Sus scrofa: one gene and its partner. The protein of the gene in region 2 interacts with the protein of the main gene of each other region in a pairwise test. Links are inferred from orthologs where the notes say so. Each region holds a gene or a part of one and is shown on either strand. Other genes may lie near its edges.

The links. The genes of interacting proteins can lie anywhere in the genome.
Region 1: the proteins of DMC1 (region 2) and KCTD17 interact in binary tests that used the Homo sapiens proteins (3 or more experiments, as listed by UniProt). The two-hybrid records come from large-scale screens. The link is inferred for Sus scrofa from reciprocal best matches to the Homo sapiens genes DMC1 and KCTD17.

Annotation. Positions count from the first base shown.
Region 1 is NC_010447.5:10,708,967-10,712,466, reverse strand, and holds part of KCTD17 (BTB/POZ domain-containing protein KCTD17), read left to right. Parts: intron 1-1,056; coding exon 1,057-1,182; intron 1,183-2,527; coding exon 2,528-2,624; intron 2,625-2,799; coding exon 2,800-3,155; coding exon of another isoform or gene 3,156-3,321; 3' UTR 3,322-3,500. UniProt on the Homo sapiens protein: Substrate-adapter for CUL3-RING ubiquitin ligase complexes which mediates the ubiquitination and subsequent proteasomal degradation of TCHP, a protein involved in ciliogenesis down-regulation.
Region 2 is NC_010447.5:9,429,762-9,434,035, reverse strand, and holds the start of DMC1 (meiotic recombination protein DMC1/LIM15 homolog), read right to left. Parts: upstream 2,801-4,274; 5' UTR 2,662-2,800; intron 979-2,661; 5' UTR 978-978; coding exon 927-977; intron 336-926; coding exon 291-335; intron 1-290. UniProt on the Homo sapiens protein: Participates in meiotic recombination, specifically in homologous strand assimilation, which is required for the resolution of meiotic double-strand breaks.

The DNA.
Region 1 (3,500 bases), about 1.3 Mb from region 2:
CAGGGGGCCACTGGCCTAAGGAACGGGCAACCTGTTCTACCTCTCTTTCCAAGAGTGAACAGAATAGGAGTTCCTGTCATGGCTCAGTGGTTCACGAATCTGACTAGGAGCCATGAGGTTGCAGCTTCGATCCCTGGCCTTGCTCAGTGGGTTAAGGATCTGCTGTTGTCATGAGCTGTGGTGTAGGTCGCAGACACGGCTCCGATCCCGTGTTGCTATGGCTGTGGTGTAGGCCGGCAGCTGCAGCTCCGATTAGACCCCTAGCCTGGGAACCTCCATATGCCACGGGAGCAGCCCTAGAAAAGGCAAAAAGACAAAAAAAAAAAAAAAAAGAGTGAACAGAGTATTCTCTGGGGCCCCATCCCCAGGTCATGCCGACCTCATCCTGTAACCTGGGCCTGGGGCTGCTTCAGCCACGTCTGGGACAGGGGCACAGTCTGCCCTGTATGAGCCTCTGCCTGCTTTTGTTTTATTTTATTTTTGCTTTTTAGGGCTGCACTTGCAGCATATGGAAGTTCCCAGGCTAGGGATCCAATCAGAGCTGCACCTGCCGATCTACACCACAGCCACAGCAACACAGGATTCGAGCCACGTCTGTAACCTGCACCACAGCTCAAGGCAGTGCCGGATCCTTAACCCGCTGAGCGAGGCCAGGGATCAAACCCGCATCCTCCTGGACATGAGTCCGGTTCACAGCCTGCTAAGCCACAGCAGGAACTCCCTTTTTTGCCTCTTTGTGCCTGCTTTTAGAAAGTGGCCCGATAGAGCTGGGAGTAGGCTGGGTGGGGGAGGAACAGCAACGATGACCGCCTTCCTCTAAGGATCAGGCCCAGCCAAGCCACTCGGGGAGGCTGGCCCTCGAAATAGACCAGAGGCTTAGGTGGGGGAGGGGAGAGGACTGAGACTTTGGGCCCAAGTGCCCTCTGGAAACCCAGGGATGGGCCTGAATAGAACAGCAAGATCAGGGCACCACTTGTGTCCTGACAAGTGCCAGTGTCCACCTGCCCCCGCCCCCCCACTCTACCTGTCACTTTCTCCCCACGCTCCCCCCTCCAGCTGGTGAACATCGGCTCCTCCTACAACTACGGCAGCGAGGACCAGGCAGAGTTCCTGTGCGTGGTGTCCAAGGAGCTCTACAGTTCCCCACACGGGCTGAGTTCCGAGTCCAGCCGCAAAACCAAGGTGAGCGGCCCCCACCCTTACCTCCCTCCCCTCACGCCCTCCACCCCCCGCCCCCTGCCCGGCCATCCCTGCTGCTTCGTTCTCCCTCCCGCTGCCCACGCATCCCCTTTCCCTCCCTCGGTCACAGTCAATGCCATCCATCCCATGCCACCCATGGTCCTGTCTGCTCACCCCAGTCACCCAGGCCCAGGCTAGGGGGGCAGGGAGATGGGTCATCCCCAGGGTGCAGTGAGAGTGGACTTAGATGCCACTTGAACAGCGGGCTGGCAGTGGCCATGGGGTGGTGCAGCACAGGGGGTGTGCCCTGAACTAGGGGGCTGGGCTCGAGCCCCCTGGGAGACCTTGGACGATTCCGACCCCCTCTGGACACCTTGGCTGGGCTCTCAGAGAAGTGAGAGGGAGGGACCACGTGCTCTCTGTGATGCTGTCCAGCTTGGAACTTCCGGGATTCGAAGAGAATGTATTTCCCAGGGGCCTGGGCCGTGGGGAGTCTGTTCATCCTGTCCCTCCCCCAGGCTCCTGCCCGGGCTCTGCCGAAGAGGGGTCAGGAGCCCTGGGGGCTCCAGATCTCTGTTTCTGGCCAGTGAGGGACATCGGCTGGCTCGGGGGAGGGGCTGAGCAGAGGTCCTGCCACCCTGGACCCAGAGCTGGTCAGAAGCCTCCAGGGCCCTATGGTAGGACCGGTGGAGCAGGCAGCAAGCCAGGCTGGGAAGAAGGGAGAACATTCCTTCCTTCTAGAAGCCTGTCCCTGTGTGGTGGAGATGTAGGAACTCCAGCTTCCCGTCTGTCTGCCTCCCTGTGCTGTGACCTCCCCTGCCCGCCTCGCCCCCATTGGGCTATGGCTGGCACGGCCTTGCAAGGGTGCAGGGTGAGCCTGCTGCTTCTGCTTCTCTGGGAGAGACCTCGGGACCCGGGGTGCCAGAGGCTGTGGCTGGCATCTCAGATGGGGCCGGTGGCTGCCCTGAGCCCTCCCTGGCCGCATGCCTACTCTGGGTCGGACCTCCTAAAATGAGGCCTTCCCAGGCACCCCTCAAGGACGCCGCACCCACTCATCCCCGCCTCTCTCCCGTGCCCCAGCCTTGCTCGCATCCCAGCAGCCAGGCTGATCTGCGAGCATCTTCAGCAGGACCCCACCCTCGGCTGGTTTCCCCAGACCCTTCCCAGGCGTCCCCCGGGGACCGGGACAAGATGCCCCAGCTTCTGTGGCCGTAGCGCTCCCCCTCCCCCGGAGGCCCCCCTTCGCCTTGCCCTGAGATGGGGGCCCGCGGGGACAGCCGCCAGCAGGCCCTGGCCCCCTGGTTAGTTCTGCGCTCTTTCTTCCCTGGGTCCGCCGGCTGGTTCACAGAGCGCGGAGGAGCCGCTGGAGGAGGAGCAGCAGCAGGAGGAGGAGGTGGAGGTGGAGGTGGCAGAGGTGCAGGTGGAGGCAGATACACAGGAGAAAGGTGCAGCCAACCCCCCAGGAGAATGATTGCTAATAAAAGCCGGAGCCTCCCGCCCGAGCTGGAGCCAGCTGCAGACCCGGGGCCCTGGGACGGCGGGGGGGGCGGCCCACCAGGGTTAGCGCAGCCCTGGCGCCTCTCCTGCATAACCATCCCTTCTCTCACTTTCTCTTTGCAGCCCAGTCATCTCAGGATCCCGCTAACCTTTTCTCCCTCCCACCACCGCCTCCTCCTCCTCCGCTTCCCGCTGGAGCTCCTGCCTCATCTTCATCCACCTCCTCTTCCTCCTGGATCTCATCTACACCCTGCCTCTTCCCTCTCTGCCCCTGTCCGGGCTTCCTCTCTGCCTGCTCGCGCCTCCATCCCGGGGCTGCCCTGGTCCCAGCCTCCTGCGCCCTCCACCCGGGCGCCCTGGCCCTGCATTCCAGAGCGTCCTGCCTGCCGCCTCCTGCTCCCCTGCTGGCACCTCCTGCCTCCAGGCCCGGGGAGGAGGGGTGCGGCTGTACCTCATCGGCGTCCGCCGGGCACGTCTGAGGCTGGTCCCCCTGCTCCGTGGCCGCCCTGTCCTCTCCTCCTCACCTTTCCTCCTTGCAGGTTCCCGTCCGCACGCCCTCAGACCTGAGGCTGCGCTTCTTGCAGCGAGGGCTCCTCCTGGGCCCCCTCCTGGGCCCCTCGCCCGCCCCCAGAGCTGCCTTTCCTGGTTTGTAGCTTTGGCAGAGCTGGAGGGAGGGGTGGAAGCCCGGACGGTGCTCATCTCCTGTTCCTTGGACTTGAGCTGAACTTCCGGCTGATTTTCTCCTCCTCTCACCAAAGTTTCTCGGCCTCTCTGGGCCTTGGGTATGAGGCTCTGAGACACGACCAAAGGGAGAGGAGATTCTT
Region 2 (4,274 bases):
GATGGAAACAGTTGATAGCTCTGAACACCTCCAAGTGGACCACTAGTTCTCAACGGGGGACAATTTTGTTCCCTGGGGACATGACAATGTTTGGAGAATTTTTGGGTTGTCACAACTATGAGGCTGCTACTAGCATATCATGAGTGGTTAGGAGCCAGAGTGCTAAACACCCTACAATGCACAAGGCAGCCCCCCCACAACAAAGAACTGTCAAGTCCCAAATGCCAATAGAGTCAAGGCTGAGAAACCCTAAAATGGACAATTTCACACAGCACTGAAGAAATACTTACAATCCCATGTTTTTGTAACAGGTCGATGTCTTGAAACAAAGATTCCTAACGAAGATGGAACAGGGAAAAAAAAAAAGTTTTTATTCTTCATATTCAACCGTTTCACAAATATTTTTAAGAGTTAATTCAGAATTATGAGTCACTCCAAGATGCTTCAAATTCCACTTCTCTAGACAGACTGAGGTAGGCTCAATAATGATTTTTCAAACACATTGTTGCATACATAGAAGTGCTAACACTGAAAGCACTGGGAAGCTCAATACTTTTATTATGCCCTCTCCAAATTTTTAAGACCTTAACCCAAAAGAGTGGAACAACATTTAATCTATTTTAAAATATGTTTTCTCAGTCTTCCCCACCAGACCTTGAACTCCTTCTACTCCTCACTACCAGTTTGCATAGGAACCAGTATGGCCATACCAATTGCTAAATTATTAAAATACTTTCACACCAGCTGCTAAGTAGCTAATCTTAGCACCCCTTGCCAAACAAGTTGTTACATATTTGTAATATTGCCTCTCTCCAGAACTATGTTTTATTGCTAATCTGTTTCTAAAAATAGTAGTTAACAGAGAAGGAACTTCATTTTTGTAGAATGACTAAATGTCTACATGTCTTTCAACATTCTAGCCATACTTCTTCATCTTGGAATCCTGGTTCTTCCAGCACAACTTGATCCTCCTTCATACTGAAAGGAGAACAGCAAAAAAATAATCAATTTTGGGAAAATAAAAAAATATTAAGAAGTAGTCATAGTACAAAACCCTTTGCCCATAGACTTTCTTGATTTCAATTCAGTTATTAAGGACCAGAAGGACAAATAGAAAAACATTTAGTTTGAAATGACTGGCTAGCCTATATCCTTTCTGCTAGGCATCTGGTATTATTTCTTTTAATGGGTGTGCATATGTGAGGGTGGAGGGACATTGTTTCTCTCCTCTTTCCTCAAAATTGGCCACTTTGTATCATCTTTTGATTTCCCACAGCACAATTATAACTGATAATATCTCTTTGTTGTCTTGGAATGTTATTGGCAGTAGAAATATTAGAATTAGAATATTAGAACTCCGTATTTTTATTCTTTCATGTTCATGTTAACAACACTCTAAGAACTTTAGCCTGGATCTCCTGTTGTGGCTCGGTGGGTGAAAAAACCAACTAGTAGCCATAAGGATTTGGGTTCGATCCCCGGCCTTGCCCAGTGGGTTAAAGATCCAATGTTGCTACGAGGTAGGTCTCAGACATGGCTAGGATCTGGCATTGCTGTGGTTGTGGCATAGGCTGGCAGCTGTAGCTCCAATTTGACCTTTAGCCTGGGCACTTATCTATGCCACAGGTTTGGCCCTAAAAAGAAAACAAACAAACAAACAAAAAAAAAACCTTTGGCCTTAAGTCAGTCTTCCTATATCTTCCCCGGCACCTAGAACTTAGTCTCTCTTCAACAGATAGATATTTTTTCATCTCTTCCTGCTTGAGAATTATGAATGAGCTCTCTTGCAACATGTGTATTTTTCTTTCATAAAACAATGGATGTATTTTGTTCTATAGTATTTACTACTTTCATGATTTTTGTAAAGATTTAAATTATGGTGAATACTCAGTATCATAATATGATAAAATATTAGGGCCAATAAGCAGATGAACAATCTTTGAGTTAACACTGGAGCAGCGGTTTTAAGATCTCAGGAATCTAAAAAGCATGATCCTGTTTATTAGAAAACGTAGTCCAAGTAATCACTTTTCTTGGTCTATTCCATTTTCTCACAAAACGCGGAAGTCAGGGGTTGGGGCCCAGCAGAAGGGGAACAAATTACTAAGGTTGAGGTATGGTCGTTACCACCTAGTACCTCTGAACAGCAAAGTATTCGAGGCAAAAGAGGAGACGGTGTAAATGGAATTTTCTGGAATACGGCCCCTCACTCAGATTGCTTATATATATGTATATATATGATTGCCCCCAAATTCCACATTGACTGTCCTTTCTTTAGCCTTGAAAAAAGCTGCTCTTCATCTTTCTCAAATAGCAATGGACGTTGAGAGCAGTTGGATCTAGAGTAGGGCTCCCAGTCGCCTCGGCTTCGGGCGTGGAAGCGCGGTCCAGGTCGCCTCCCCTGCCGCCACCCGTTTTTCCAACACCTAACTCCCTCATAAGGAGTCTGAGGAGGCCCCTCCCCAACTTAGGTCCTACTTGGTTTAAAATAAGGATGCTGGTAATCACTCAAGGGCACTGAGATATACCCCCAGGGGTGGGGGCGGGACGCACAAAGTGGAGCCTCCAACCACCACCAAGCATGACTAAAGAAGGGACCCCCTGAGTTTCCCCTCAGATTCTTCACCCACCTTCCCCTTTTGCCACAAACCCGACTCGTACCCACAATCTCCCTTTTCAAGGTGAATGAATCCCTTCCGCCCCCGTCCCGGGCCTTCCAGTCCTCAGGGATTCTGACTCCGAAGCAGAACGCGGCGCCTCGCAGCCCCGTTGACCAAGAGGTTCGGTGCCCAACGACTAGTTTGGGCGCGCGCCTGGCGTGGGCGGGGCCAGGACGGAGGGGCGGGGATCTGGGCGGGGCAGAGGACGGGGGGCGGGGCGGCAGGAGCGTCCGGGGGAGGCGAAGGTACTGGGAGCGGCGAACGGACTCTCCGGGGCGTGTCGCGCGCTGGGATGAGGAAGGGGGCGCTGAGGGGGAGAGTGTGTGCTGAGGAGAGGGGCTTTGGTGGGAAGGGAGGCTGGGGCGTCTCCAGAGCGGAGGGAGATGCTGAGGTCAAGAGAGGACTCTGAGGTGGGGGCACCCAGGACATGGGTCAAAATTGGGGGCTCCTGAGGTGGACGCTGAGGTGAAGACAGGATCCTCTGAGAAAGGAGGCCCTTGGGTGGCGCGTGTTCTGAGATGAAGAGAGGCCGCTGGAAAGGGGGCAAGAGGTGGACGACCGTGAGGCGGGGGAGGGGTGCTGAGGGGAGGTGGCTGATGTGGTGACTCATGACGTGCAGAATGCTTACCTTAATCCAGATCCTCCGTTAGGAGCCGAATATGGGGGTCTTTTCCCCCTGCTTAAGGCTTTTCTTTTCATTCCAAGTTTTTCATGTCTGCCTTCATAGTTTGTTCCTAATATCTCAGCGTTCCTAATTTCTCTCCCTTCTCCGTGACTCTCTTACCGTTTGCCATTCTCTAGTCTGTGAGTGAGACACCCAAAGCCCATTCAGGACGGAGAGTAATTTTTCTTCCTTTTAACTTGAAATTTTAAATAGACAACAGAAGCCAAACATATTTTGGTCCAGCTTTTAAATAGAAATTTTAGGCCAGCCTTCATGCCAGCAGAGCCGTCTCTGGCAGCATCAACCCTCCTCCCCTTAAATGGAGACTGACTGTTGAAGAGAGTCATGAAACATTTGAAAGAGCATCTGTTGAGGTGGAGGCTGTGATGTATCTTGGATGACTATCTGTGCAAACAGTTCTTTGGGTTCAAGACCTAGTACAGGGTGACCCTTTTCATTCAGTGTCTGAATCATATTTTGCTGGAATAAATAGCCAAAAATTCCCACAATAGCAGTTGGCATTTTGTAGGACATTTCCTCTGCCCCCCACGTGGATTGTTTAAAGACCCAACAAATAACTGCCATAGTTCTTCAAAATCTGTTATTTTCCAGAAACACAGCCTGGTCTTGCTTAAATAGAAATTAATGTCAATTTTTGAGATGAACTGTATAGTCGATGGTAGGCTTTCACTTTGGGCCTCACCTAAAATAATTATAGTAACTTCTGAGCAACTTGTTAGATGGAGACATCAACTGTACGGAAGAGCTGCAAAGAGCACAACAAGATGATTTAGGGAAATATAACATATGTAGTTTGGTGTAGTGACAGCTGGGAGAGAGAAATGTTCATAATATTTGAAGGTTGTGTGCAGTACACTTAAAGAAACTGAAATGAGCTTGGTAATGACAAACTCATGAAGTAAGGATAAAAATCTTGTTTGGAGATGGTA